Linked DNA regions of Rhinolophus ferrumequinum. The protein of the gene in region 1 interacts with the protein of each later gene in a pairwise test. Links are inferred from orthologs where the notes say so. Each region holds a gene or a part of one and is shown on either strand. Other genes may lie near its edges.

Evidence for each region.
Region 2: the proteins of CIAO1 (region 1) and CIAO2B interact in binary tests that used the Homo sapiens proteins (3 or more experiments, as listed by UniProt). The two-hybrid records come from large-scale screens. The link is inferred for Rhinolophus ferrumequinum from reciprocal best matches to the Homo sapiens genes CIAO1 and CIAO2B.

The regions. Positions count from the first base shown.
Region 1 is NW_022680356.1:1,913,060-1,920,175, reverse strand, and holds the start of CIAO1 (probable cytosolic iron-sulfur protein assembly protein CIAO1), read right to left. Parts: upstream 3,074-7,116; 5' UTR 2,907-3,073; coding exon 2,768-2,906; intron 2,263-2,767; coding exon 2,114-2,262; intron 1,961-2,113; coding exon 1,849-1,960; intron 1,742-1,848; coding exon 1,653-1,741; intron 1,439-1,652; coding exon 1,237-1,438; intron 696-1,236; coding exon 608-695; intron 1-607. Other genes in the region: TMEM127 (transmembrane protein 127), read left to right, coding at 3,843-4,086. UniProt on the Homo sapiens protein: Key component of the cytosolic iron-sulfur protein assembly (CIA) complex, a multiprotein complex that mediates the incorporation of iron-sulfur cluster into extramitochondrial Fe/S proteins.
Region 2 is NC_046298.1:16,779,224-16,786,161, forward strand, and holds CIAO2B (cytosolic iron-sulfur assembly component 2B), read right to left. Parts: upstream 2,411-6,938; 5' UTR 2,353-2,410; coding exon 2,211-2,352; intron 2,054-2,210; coding exon 1,974-2,053; intron 1,728-1,973; coding exon 1,602-1,727; intron 1,172-1,601; coding exon 1,126-1,171; intron 728-1,125; coding exon 630-727; 3' UTR 511-629; downstream 1-510.

The DNA.
Region 1 (7,116 bases):
CTTTTGTCACTGAGCATAAGCAGTTTCTCTCGTCATGAAGCTTGCTCAACCAGTTTTTTCAAACCGAGATATAACAAGCCAATGAAGTTAACCATACTTTACTTAAGTCTGTTTTTGTTATTCCCAAATATTTGCTAATGTAAACAAAGCTTAGACTTTGTTCTCTCGTTACTTAGGATTATTTCCTAGGAATAGATTCTTGGGTCAGAACTGCCCTCTGACTGACTGTTCCACGGGAATGGTGTGGCTTTCGTAGCCTCCTCAAGGCAGAGCCAGTGTTATAAACTATCCAACCCCAGCCATGAACCCACAGTTACAATAATGAGTATTTCTGGATGGTGCGATGCTGTGTGACCCCAAAGGCCAGTGTTGCCCTCACAGCCTGGGAGCTTGACGCAAGGTGTAGGCCTGGGTCTAAGTCTGTCCCAGGTCCTGTGACCGGGCTGGCAGCTCTAAGCCAGCAGGGTGCATAGTGTGGCCTGTTCTGAAGAAGTGAGGGTGCTGCTCTCTGTTCCCATGCACACCCAAAGGGGACAGAGAGCAGCACTGGTCTGACTTCTCTAAACCTCTGCAAACTGGGGGTGGGGGTTGAAGATGGAGGTCTTACCAAGCAACGTCGTAAATGGTCCTGGAGTGGAAGCCTGACAAAGTACAGATACATTTCCAGCTGGGGTCAGAGCCGCTGCACACCACCCCTGCACGACAGACTTCTGCTGAGTCCAAGACATGTCTGTGTCCTGGGCACCTCAAGGAGTAACTGCCCCACTGCACAGATCCTAACTGCCCTCCCTCATGAGGCCCCATCATCACTCCTCACAGATCTGCCTCACACTGTGGCCTGACTGGTGTTTTCACAGCAGAATTCTGAGGAGGAAATGTCCTGTTCAAGAACCCTTTTGCGGCAGACTGACTAGCTAGACTGCCTTTGAAGGCCACCCACCTGCTTTCTTCCAATCCCTTCAGACCCTGTGCTCCATCTAAAGGACTCACTGTTCTAGTTAAGTCTAGGCTTTCCCACCTTTAATGCCTTGGCTCATGCCATTCTGTTTTCACCCAGAATTCTGGTCGTGTTAAAATCCTATGCACCCTTCCCCGGAGCTCTCCCTAATTCTGCCAGCATTCCCTGGTGCCCCCTGGCGGCACATCCCCCCTTCTGCCCCAATCTGCCTACTGTTTCAGCCCTAGAAGACTGTCAACTTCATGGACAGTCTCCTTCAGCTCCACTCTCTTGCTTACCTTGCTCGTTGCCTGGTAGATACTGGCGCCAAATGCGCACCGTACGGTCGTCACTGCAAGACGCCAGACGTTGGCCACTGGGGTCAAAGGCCAAGCTCCACACAGTGGACTCATGGCCCTCGAGGGTGGCACAGCATACCCAGTCATCCTCTTCCTCCCGGTAGAGCTTCACTGTGTCATCATAGCTGGCAGAGGCTAACAGCTGGGGACGCAGGGAAACAGCACTTATGGCCCAGGAAGTGCCTGTGATCCCAATACTTCTCCTTGCTTGGACAGGCCAGTCCCAGGGAACTGTCTCTCCTTTGGTCACAGACAGTGATCCCTGTAACAGCCAGGCCGAGACAGAAGAGCAGAGGCCTGGGCACGGCCTCCATACCGGAACTCCTTCCCACCAAGATTTTCTGCGTGACTCTTACCTCCTGGCTCGGGTGCCAGACCACATGCTTAACATCCTGTGTGTGGGAGTTGAGGACACTGACACATTCGTACTCATCTTCCTCATCAACTGCGGGAGGAAAAAGGAATGGAGTCCATGAGATGACCCTGTCAGGGTCACAGAGGCGGATGTCTGTCCGTGAACTCCCAAGTGCTCCTGGAGGGACCTGGACTCACCTTCCCAGACCCACACACTCTTATCTCGGCTGCAGGTAGCAAGGAGGTTGCCAGATGGGGCCCAGGCCACTGACTTGATCTCATTTTCATGGCCCTCCAGAATGTTCACACACTGAAAAGGGAAGAGAGTCAAGAATCAACGGCAGCTAAGACTTCTGGGATGCTTTTCATGGGTACAGCTCAATGGGCCCAGGTTGACTCAGGTTTCTGAACCACCTTTGGGGAACAAAGGAGCAACAATCCTGGTCCCATCCAGCCTGGTTACCTCAAAGTCATCCTGGTTCTTCTTCCAAATGCAAGTGGTAGCATCAAAGCTGGCAGAGGCCAAGTAATTGCCGCAGGGAGACCAGGCCACCTTCCGCACAGTGCGCTGGTGGCCTTCAGAAAGGACAGATTTGCAGATCCAGCTGTCACCTAAAAGCAGAGGACAACCAGGCACTGGACACTATCAAAGCCATCTAATAATGGGGGCTAGTACTGGAGCCAAACTGGGGCAACAGCTCAACCGGTGTATTTAACAACATGCTTTCAGAAAGAAGTAACTGACGCTACTTCCACTGAGGAATCACCCTTCTGAAACAAATCCCCAATTTAGAATGATCAGTGGCTCCCCAATGCCCTCGGCATAAAACGTGAACTTCACCGTCCTCGTAAATTACTCCGCAGGCTATTTTTCACCGTCCTTTTCTCCTTTTCTTGCCTCAGCAACTATCACAATTATCTCCACAGTTCCACCTGTCTCCTGACGTTTTTGCTTCTAGTACTTGCCAGAAAAGTCTTTCTCAGTGTGGCTAACGTCCACCTCCAGGAGGCCTGTCCCCCCTCTCCCCGGGCCGTTCTCCAGCCAGTGTCCGCCTGCCGCGCACCCGCGAGTTTGGAGTCCCCGGCAGCGGGGGCGCGCGCCGAGGCCAGGCCTTACCCTCCGTGCCCCAGATGCGGACTCTGCGGTCTCCCCCGCAAGAGGCCAGCAGGGTTCCGGCGGGGTTCCAGGCCAGGAACCAGCAGCGCGAGTCCGGGTGCGCCGGGACACGGCCCAGCAGCACCAGCGAGTCTTTCATGGCTGCCCGGCGAAGAACGAGGAGGAGGTGGCAGAGTTTCGACCGCGGGTCCCACCGCTAAGGTGTCCACGACGCCCCCTTGGCTTCCGCGACCACCGCTCGGGCCTCTTCCGCCCGAGAGCCCGGGTCGTCCCGGGAACTGAAGTGCCTGAGGCTGCGGCCGCGCTGCCCTCTGGGAGTTGTAGTCGGCCTCCCACTCCCCGGCATAAAGCCTTGCGGTACTGCCTCGAACTACCAGTCCCGTGAGGCCCCGCGCAGGGAGCCGGCGGCGCGCCGGGCTGTGACGCGCGCGGGGACGGGGCGGGGAGCCCGAGGAGGCGGAGGCAGAGGCAGAGGAAGCCGGAAGTGGGTCGTACCCGGGTCGGTCCGGGCGTTGCGGGTTTGGGGCCTGGGATAGCTCGGCCCCAGGCACCTGGAGAGCCCGAGACGGAACAGAGCGGCGCCATCCCGGCTCTGAGGGCTGCTGACTGGTGAGAAACAGCGGTCGGTGTGGGGAGGGTCCTATCTGGGCAGAGGTCGCGACCCAGAGCGCCGGTTCAGGATCCCGGGTTCCGGATTCCCCGCGGCCCAGCCTGGTCCTTCTCCCCTCGGTGCCCTCTGGCCAAGACCCTGGGTCCGGGTCTCTCTCCCACCAGTAGCCCACACCTCCGTTCCCCAACCCCCCCCCGGGTCTGCCCAGTTCCCAGCCGGCCCCTAGCGCTCTCCGAGTCCTCACCCCGCACCTCCCATTCCAGGGACCCCGTCCCCGCCCCTGAATCCTTGCAGTCCTCCTGTCTCCGCTCGGGCCCAGGTCCTACCCCTCAGCCTCCGCTGTCTGCCCCGGCAGCCCTTTTTTTACCACTTGCCTTCTCCCTGAAACAGGCAGGCTCTGCGTGCCCCGCGGAGGTCGGCGGCGACCAGCAGTGACCGCGGAGCGACGGCGGGCGGCCCCTGGGCATGTACGCCCCCGGAGGCGCCGGGCTGCCCGGCGGGCGCCGGCGGAGGAGCCCGGGAGGCAGCGCTCTGCCCAAGCAGCCGGAGCGTAGCCTGGCCTCGGCCCTGCCGGGCGCCCTTTCCATCACGGCTCTGTGCACTGCCCTCGCGGAGCCTGCCTGGCTACACATCCACGGTGGCACCTGTTCCCGCCAGGAGCTGGGGGTCTCCGACGTGCTGGGCTATGTGCACCCAGACCTGCTGAAAGGTAAGGGCGCTGCACGCTGGCCTTCTTCTTCCTGGGCGATCGGGGCTCTTCCGCGGGGTGGGGAGCAGAAGAATGTGGTGTGGCCTGAAGCTGAGACAGCCAGGGGCAGGACTTGGTTGAAGGAAACAGCCCCCCATTCCTGCCTGCAGTTCATTCCCACTGGATGGCTCTATTTGGGGTCCCGCCCCTCATTAATTAAGATGTTATTCAGCCAAGCCCTTACTCTTCCCGCCGTGCTAATCCGGACTGCTGCTATTTTAGGATAATGCTGGAGGAGGGGCGCTGCGTGTGGAGAAAAGATAAGGTGCTAGGCGTTACAATTAGCTGGCCCCTTCTAAGGAGCTGTGGGATGTGGGAAGGTTTCTTTGGGGCAGCTGATTGATGGAGAAAAAGGAACTTTTAATACAGCTGGATTTTAAAAGCTATTTTTGAGTTCTGCAGTAGTTGGGTTTTTATTAGAGAAAAGGGAAGTCTGTTATTTTCAATAATCAGGAGTCAGTTCCAGCCTTAGTAAAGCAGTTGGAATTTGGCTCTTGGAACCATACACGTGTCCCTGACTGAGGCGAGGCTGCCGTTCTCATCATGCTTCTCAGCAGGTGGGCAGAAGAAGGGGGAAAGGGACTGGTCTCCTTACCGGACACAGGGGTGGCCACGACCAAGGGGTGCCTGTCCCAGGGAGGCCGCAGCTGCTCCTGCCAGCCCTGTGTGCAGCAGTGAGGGTACAGGCTGTGCGGTGTGAGGGCAGGACTGCACTGCCTGGCTTTTACCTGGAAACTGGTGGTCAGTGGACCCCACATGGCCCTTAGTAACAGCACAGCCCATCACCCCAGGGTCTTTTTTTAAAGATTTTATTGGGGAAGGGGAAAAGGACTTTATTAGGGAACAGTGTGTACTTCCAGGACTTTTTTCCAAGTCAAGTTGTTGTCCTTTCAGTCTTAGTTGTGGAGGGTGCAGCTCAGCTCCAGGTCCAGTTGTTAGTTGCAGGGGGCGGAGCCCACCATCCCTTGCAGGACTGGATGAGTTGAACCGGCAACCTTGTGGTTGAGAGCCCACTGGCCCATGTGGGAATCGAACCGGCAGCCTTTGGCGTTAGGAACATGGAGCTCCAACCGCCTGAGCCACCGAGCCGGCCCACCCCATGGTCTTTTGAACCATTCTTGTAGGTCTTTAGTATTCCTCCCTGTGCCACTCCCTGGCTGTAATGCCTTCCGGATGTTTGCCGCCCCATGTCTCAGAATCCCTTCCTGTTAGATATCTTCATGTTGCTTCTTTAAGGGCTCATGCACTGGGATTTGGTGAAAAGCTCAAGTTCTCCTCTGGGCCTTGGATTACACACCACTTCTGCAGGGCCAGGCTGAAAAGCTCTATTCCTGTGGCCTAATGTTATCTTTCTCCAAGAGTTCTCTGACTGTTTTGCATCTCTCTCAGGTTTTTAAGGATTTAGGATGATTTTTGTAGAGAACAGGATGGGGGCTTCTGATTTGTTTTCAGGTTCCTCCGTGATGATAGCTTTCTCTGGGTTGGCTAAGACAGAAGTTATACACACGATGGAGGCCTTGTGACATGCAGCTTTTTCTCTGGCATGTGTCTGATGGCAGAAATGCCATCAAGCTGCGGCGGAGTCTGGATGGTTGTCCCTCATCGCATTCTCCTCTCCAGCCCTCTTTGAAGCGCAGATGTCACCTTCCCACCTCTTCTTCCAGATCTTTGCACTGATTCCCTGCTGTTTCAGTGTTTCAGAACCTGGTGTTGCCTGCAAACTGTGAGAGAGTTCCGGATTCTTCTCCCTTTCAGGTCATTTTTGGGGAGGCCATGTGATGGAGGGAGAGGCAGTCTGAGCCCAGGTCCTTATTTCAGAGATCCTGGAAGCTGTGTCTCACAGAAGTGAAGTGGTCTCTCCAGGGCTACACGGCTGGGGGTGGCAGAGGTGTGTCTGTCTCTCGTCTCTTGACTCACCATAAAATGTTGCTGTCGCCTTTGTTTTTTATCCTTTGTTTTACTTTAGCTGACATAGGAATCATCTCAAGGTTATTCCATCTTGGTGTGCGTCCTTGCCAAAGGCATGTAAGAAACCAGTTCTTGCTGCAGGCTCTCCTTCGTTCGCATCCGTTTACCGTTCGTAGTTCGTAAGGAACTACTCGGGCTAGGTTTTGTCTTTCGGAAAGCATGTTGCCTTACCTTTATATTACGTTTGCCCATGAGTTTAGGGGACAGTCCCAGCCTGCTGTCTGTGGCCATGTCCTTAGCCATTGCAAGCCAGGAACACTTGGTGTCCATCCGTAAGAGTGTTGGTATGGTCCTTCATGAACTGTCATAGAAGGTGGCAAGGAGTCGGGAGGTCCCTTATTGCTTCTCTTCTCTCTTTTGTCTCTCTATCTGTGGTTTTTTGGTACCCAGTGAGCTGTCCTGTGTGATTATGCTGATCCTCAGAGCCTAAGAGATGTCCTGGCAGGGAAGCCAGGTCTGGTCCCTATAGATGCTTCCAGAGGAAGGACAGACCCTACCAGGTCTCTTCAGGTGACAGGGAGTCCGTTTCTCGGGCCCCTGCCTGGGGGCGAGGCATTGTGCTCAGCACACTCCATGCCTGGCTTTAGTTTCTCCTAACAACCCCTCATTTGGTAGGTACTGTTGTCCCCGCCACTTCATAGCAGTCTCCGGCTCAAGGAGGTCAGGTGACTTGCTCAGAACCATACAGCCCGTCTGCGTGGCGAGGCCTCCATCCTTACCGCCGCCCCAGCTTCTTTCTGCTGTCAGAGCAGTCCAAAGCTTACTACTTCCCATTCTGCTTGAGTGTTCTCACAAGCCCCGCCAAAGCTGTGCTTCTGACCCCTGTGGCCTCAGTTCTGGCTTAAGTTGGTGATGCTGAGGCAGAACCACTCACCTCCCACTGTCACTCGCAGGGCCAGAGCCCCAAGGCTCAACCAATTGCATCCTGAACCCTCCCTCTCCTCAGGCCCAGGCCGCTTGTGCCCCAAGCGGGGGGCCCAGATCATCGTTCCTCCTGTGCCCCAATCCCCTGCAGCCTCTCAA
Region 2 (6,938 bases), on another chromosome or scaffold:
CACACATCGCTTCTAGTATGGCAAGTCCTGTCAAAAACATTACGGTGTGTCCTCATCCACCTTATTCACCGGATCTCGACTTCTGGCTCTTTCCCAAAGTAAAAATGACTATGAAAGGTAAATGCTTTGAATAGATTCAGGACATCGAGACAGCCATGACAGCGCAACTAAAGACACTCACAAAAGAGGACTTCCAGAACTGCTTCAGAAAGTGACAAGAACGATGGGATAAGTGTTTGAAGCGAGAGGGAGTATTTGGAGGGGGATTGATGGCAATGTGCCTTTTACTGTAATGCATTTTTTAAATTTAAACATTCATCGTATTGTTTGATCACACCTCATAGGTGTGTTCATTACTCTACTCTCAATTTTTTGGTATACTTGCAAGTTTTCCAATCAAACCATTCGGAGAAATTTTTTAAATACAAGTAAACTGCACCTCATTGACCTAGCACCACCCCCTCCCAAACCCAAAGTGACCCCACCACGAAGAAAGACTCTAAGGCATGCTGAGAAAGGAATATAAATTAAAGATTTATTATAAAATGAAAATGTTAATTTCTTATTGTCAGTGATTCAAGAAAACAAGGCCATGACCCCTGGGTGGGACTGGGGGTGAAAAGCCAGGCTCAGGAGCGGGCTGACAGGCATTGGTTCACAACCTCCAGCAGGTGGGTATTCTCCAGGGCAGCTGCCACCCGCTCCTTATCTGCAAGCTGCTTATTCACTGGGTAGAAAGGAGGGAATTATATACGTACCCCCGCCAACCAAGCCCTCCATCACCTCCTTTCCAGGACCCCAAGCCTCAATCAGGCTACCCCAACAACCTGTGCCCACACCTATCCCACCTTCTGGGACTCCTCCCACCTGCCTGCTCATGCCTACCTCCTGTACTACTATGAAGCCTGACACCCCTGGTCCTGTGTAGTTAGGAGGGGGAGAGGACAGGAGCGGGGGAATGTAGTAAGCACAGGGGACTCAAGTCAGTCCAGCTTCAGTCTTGAGCTGATCTCTCTCCTGAGGAGTCACCACGCAGCAGCACCGCCCCCCCCCACCTTGCCCTACAAACCTCCACCGCAAGGGGGAAGCCTCAGGGCCAATGCCACAACACCAGCCCTCTCTTACCTGCATGCTCTGACGCATGGGTCCCTGGCGTAATGTGCACGTCCATCTGGGAGGGAGTAAGGCGGGGCCTGAGCATTTGCCCCTGACCTACCTACCCGCTTCTCTCCCTTCCTATTCATGCCTCTGGACGCTGGCCTGTCCAGGACACCCCAAACCCACCCAGGGCCACTGGCATCTCTACTCAAAGGACAGGCCAACTGCTGTTAAAGGCCTGCCGGTGCCCCATCCCTGCTCCAAACCTATTTATAGCACCCTGCTGTCCTTCCTGCCACACTCCTCACTATTTTTCCGCTCTTGCAGCTCAGGCCTTTATTCTTGTTGTCGCATTCAATTAAAAGTCTCCTCCCAGTTTCATCTCTGCTAGTTGGGATCCTTCCAGGTCTCACTCTGATGTCCGTGTTCATGCTCTCTATGTCCCCCTTAGTACTAGCAGATGCTCACCCTTGCCCCACCCCCAGGGCTCACGTCCAGCTTACCTTGAAACGCTGAGGAAGAGATCGCAAAAGCTTGACTTTGATGGACAGGCCAATAAGGGTGGCCATGCTGCAGTGAGGAATGGTGGGTGTGAAGGCCACCGCCACTGTGCTGTCAGGGTCGCTCACCTGGTTGGTGGGGGGTGTTAGTCATGGCCCTTTTAGCCCAGAGCTGCTCTTCTTAGTTTGTGGCTTCAGGCAAGTCATCTAACCTCTATGGGCTTTAGTTTCCTCATCCATAAAATGGACACAATCCCTCCCTTCCAAAGATCCCCTGAAGAGTCCGTGAACTGAAAGAACGCCAGACCCTGGGCGCTCACGCAGCTTTCTGACTCTCCCAAACAAGTCGCTCACCTCCGACGCTGGGTAACTCACCTGAACCCGGACTTGCTCTACGACGTTCAATTCTTCCAGCGTCAGTGGATGCTCCGGGTCATTGATAGATCGAATGAGATGTGGCAAGTGAAGGAAAGCGGACTCTGCGCCTTTGCCCACTCAGAACCCCCCTCTGGGAATGCCTGGACATGATACAGCTCCACCAACTATCGGACGTCACTTCATGCCCCCTCCCAGGCCCCTGCGAACCCGCCCGCGCCCGGCAACAGCGGATATCGAAGATCTCGCGCGCGTCGATAATGTCCGCAACCTGCTCGTCCTCCTCGCCCGCGGTCACTGGCCGCTCCCCGGAGCGCTCGTATATGAGGGGGTTAGCGTTTTCCAGGAGGCCATGCCGCGTCCCACTGCCACCCACCATCGCGGAACCGCGGCAGACCCCAGTCGGCAAGCACTTCCGCTCCTTAGGGTGTACTTCCGGGGAACGGGAAGGGGCGTGGCGGGACGACGGGGTCGCGCGAGGGACATGCAGTGCTGCGGCTGGTCGGCCTAGGCCTTAGGAGGGCCTGCGCCCTTCGCACGCTCGCTGTGCCGACTCCCGAGGATGTGACCGCTACGTCTAGGCACAGAGAAGACGCGCTGGGCGGTGAGGTCCCGTAGCGTGCTGGACCGCGGAGGCCACAGCGGGTTCTCGGGGGCACTGAAGACCAGTCTGAGATTGAGCCAGGTGTATCTTCAGGCACCACTTCCTCGGACGTTTGTCCCTTTAGGCTGGGCGGGCGCTTCTGTTCCCATAGTTGCATCTTTCCTGGCATACGTTTCGGTACCTCCCGGGGATGCGCCTGCATCCCCCGCCGCACCATGGGCCAAGGAGTACCCTGCAGGGTCCCCACAGTGCAAATCAGGAGACATTCTTTAAATGTTTATCAAATGAATAAGTGACCGTTGACTCGATCTTGGCGGGAGGTGGGGAGAGGGAAAGCCACGTGGTAGGGTTGGGGGTATCCTTAAAACAAGTGCCACAGTCACATGTGCATTTCAGAAAGTGAGCTATGTTGCAGGTGGGAGGGGGTCCGTGGAGCCCTCAGACTAGGGACAGACAATAAAGAGATAAGGAAGGTGGACCCAGGAAAGATCTTGAAAGGAAGGAGGAACTTTCAGGATGAAGGGCGGTCACACCCCCCTGCCTTTCCTCATGCGGTTTCCTTCATGCTGAACCTAGATCGTTCCCATTTCTCCATCTGTGGGAATCCTGATGGTGCACCTCCTCAAGGAAGCTCTCCTGGGTTCCTGGCTTCTTCCCTTCCCTTTTCCTGGCTTAGAGTTCCCTTGCTCCACCCCGGAACACCTTTGTCAGGCCTGTAACTATAAGGACACTGAACTCAGGTTTGAGGAGAGGGTTCATCGTATTGCAGAGGGGCTGCAGAAGCCTCGCTGGCCCCTTCCGAGGTGACCCAAGGGGGCCTGGGCAGAGGGGAAGCGGCCGTGCTAGTGCCCACCTGCCACTGACCTTTGCTTGCTCAGTTCGGCTCTCCTGCCAAACCCACCTTTCTTTCACCCACTTGGCGCGCTCCACCTACTCCCTGCCCAGTTCAAACTCCCGACCTGAGAGGCTGGTGGTGGCAGTGAATTAAATGGACAAACATCACATCTGCAAGGAACTGTGTGTAGATAGCATGTCGCTCAGGAGAGGGGTGGGCTCTCTGACTTGGAAAGGCATCGCTCAATTGCCCTCTGTGGAACCTGTGAGTAGCTGCTGACTCTAGCCTTACATCAGGTGGCATCAATCATATTAACCCATGTTGGTCTAAAAGGTACAGGGTAGTATAACTCCCTGAGGATTTTTCTTTTCGTTTTTTACATTGTATTATGAAACCAGGCTCAGATCTGCCAAATTCCGCAGATGCAGAATCTGAGCCTACAGGAGGGAAGGCGCCGGGGAGGTGAGAGTCAGTAAAGATAGCACCAGGGAATTTGGGAGCCTAACTGGATACGTCCCTGCACCCTGAAGCCCAGAGAGGGTATGGGCTGCCCAAGGCCACACACCACCAAGGGGCTACCTGTCAGAAGTAGAGAGTATAATATAACGAACCCAATGCATCCATGATCTACTTTCAACAATAATCAAAAAGCTCGTTTTGTCTGGATTATCACCTCTCCCATGCACCATTATTTGAAACAAATTCCAAACATATCATCTATAAATTTTTCAACATGTCCTACTAAAAAAAGCTGTGTATATGTATATATAATAAAATATCTAAAATGTTCTTATTTCATATCTCATAAATGATAGATTTACAGGGTTTTTTTTTTTAAAAAAAAATCAGGATTCAAATAAGGCCCATACTTTGAAAATTGGTAAATGTGTTTTTCTTTTTATTAACAGTTTTGAGATATGATTCACATAGCTTACTACTCTTCACCATTTAAAGTGTACAATTCAATGGTGTTTAATATATTCACAGAGTTTACCACATCAATTCCCCTTTGCCCCCACCCCAATCCCCAATTTCAGCCCCAGCAACCACCAATCTACTTTCTAACTCTATGGATGTGCCAATTTTGAATGTTTCACATAAATGGAATCATCCAACATATGGTCCTTTGTGATTGGCTTCTTTCACTAAAAGAAGGTTCATCCATGTTGTTGCATATTCAGTACTTCTGTTTTATTATTGCTGAATAATATTCCATTATGTAGATATGATACATTTTATTGATCCATTTATTAGTTGATGGACATTTGGATTGTTTCCACTTTTAGCTATTATGAATAAGTGTGCTATGAACATTCATGTACAAGTTTTTGTGTGTATACATGTTTTCAGTTCTTTCGGGTTTATACCTAGGAGTGGATCTGCTGGCTCATATGGTAACTCTATGTTTAACCACTTGAAGAACTGCCAGACTTTTCCAGAGCACCTGCACCATTTTACCTTCTCACAGCAATCTATGAAGGTTTCAGTTTTCCCACATCCTTACCAATATTTGTTATTATTTACCTTTTTTATGAATTTCATGAGTCTTTTTCAATCTTCAGATTCCTCCTCTGCCTCTCTTTTATTTTCCTTGTAATTTCATTGTGTTGAAAAAACCAGTTTATTTGTTCTGGAGAGGATACCAAAGTTTGGGTTTTGCTGATTATACCCCAGTGATGTCTTTTAACTGTTTTTCTGTCCCCTGTATGCCTATAAATTTGTATTTATATTCTAGAAGCTTTATCAGATTCAGGTTTCATGTGTTGCTTTGTTTTGTTTGGGAGCAGAACTACTTCACATGTGGTACTATGGACTTCCAATAGAAAACATACAATGTCTGAGTGTCTTGTTTTTTGTGACAAAATAAGTTGTTGACATGACAGATTTCAATGTGCGTTTCTCTTAGCATGAGTGAGGTGAACATCTCTTCATTTGTGTAAGAGCCATTTATTTGTTTTCCTTATTCTATCTGAACATATTCTTTCACCAAATATGCACAGCCGGCATATTTCTTATTTATTTCTAGAAATTCTTTGTCTACTAAGAATATCGGCTTTTTCGCTGTTAGGTCACTTTCAATCACCCCCTCTAGGGCAATCCCCATAGCAGGACAGGCTGCGCCTCTTATGTTGCAGACTTCTTATGTCCACTTCTCTTTTGTAGATCTCCTCATAACACCACTCTTTGTCTGGAGGATGCTTTCTTTAAGTCATTTTTTGCCACCTAGAGCATGAGATGAGAACCCTGAATGTCTGATTCTCTCAGTTCTCCTACTCCTCAGATGACCTGGCACGCAGTCAGTGGAAAGGACACTCACCCCATCAAACTCATGTGACCATTTGCTTGAAACTCCTTGGACTAAGCCATGGTGCCAGGCCTCAGGGAGCTTCACTAAGTGTGGAAAAGGCTGGGGCTGGACCCAGTGAAGGCAGTAGGGGGTGAAGGTGGAGCAGGATTACAGGCAGGAAATTTATAATACAAATGTTTGTAGATCAGAGCCCCTTGAACTGAGATGAGGATGGGAAGGAGTGGGCAACATCAATAGTCTGGGGGGACAGCTGATTGGGCAGACACAGTGTCCATTTCTCTGCCCACAAGCCAGCACTCTGCCAGCCCCATCTGGACCACACACACGAGACAGCTTCAGGGGAGCCTCATCCACATGAAGGGCACCGATGTGGGGGTCCACACCTTCCTGGGAAATCCCTTTGCCAAGTCACTTCCAGGGCTGCTGCAATTTGCACCCCGAGAGTCCCCTGAATCTTGGAATGGTGTAAAGGATGGGACCTCCAACCCAACCACCTAAGCAGGGCGTTCAGGGAACTCCACGCCCTGGGGTAAAGGGTACTCTGAACTCTGGGCTGGGCTGCAGTTGTCATTTCATCTAAACCCCACGGCCAGTTCCCCCTCTGAGTTTGGTGGATTCCCATATGCATTTTTCCTCTACGCCTGCTGAGGTTTGGAAGGGTGAAGTAACTTTCCCAGGCTCAGGGCTTGGCACTTAGGGCATTAGCTCCTGCCGAAGGGATGAGCAGAGACATATATCTCCCTAGGTTCCAGTTATGCCAAGTATTCTCTGCCACCAGGGAAGGTGTCTCTGGGAGAGGTTTGGGTGGGCTCCATGAACTTTGTAGGAGCCCCTGACTCTAGCAGTAGGTACTGTAGTTCCCTGAAGAGTAGGGGACCCCCATTCTGCACAGTCATTGCGCCAACCAACAGGGCCCGGTGCCATGGGCCAAGGGGCATGTGTATGTTCTTACAGCTGGAAACGGGGGGAGCGATGAGGTTCCCTAAGAGTCTGACTTGGGATGTGGGATGAACCACTGCCCTTCTCATAAGAAATTAACATCCATTCATTCAGGCAGCACAGGTATGTGGGCTACTTTGTGTTCCAGGCCTGGCTGGGTACAAGGATACAGTGGTGAATTCAACACATGCAACAGATGGTTCTCATAGAGACCCCCAAGAATCAAGATTTCCCAGCCTCAACAGGATTAGTATCTAAGGCCCTTCTTAGAAGATTGGG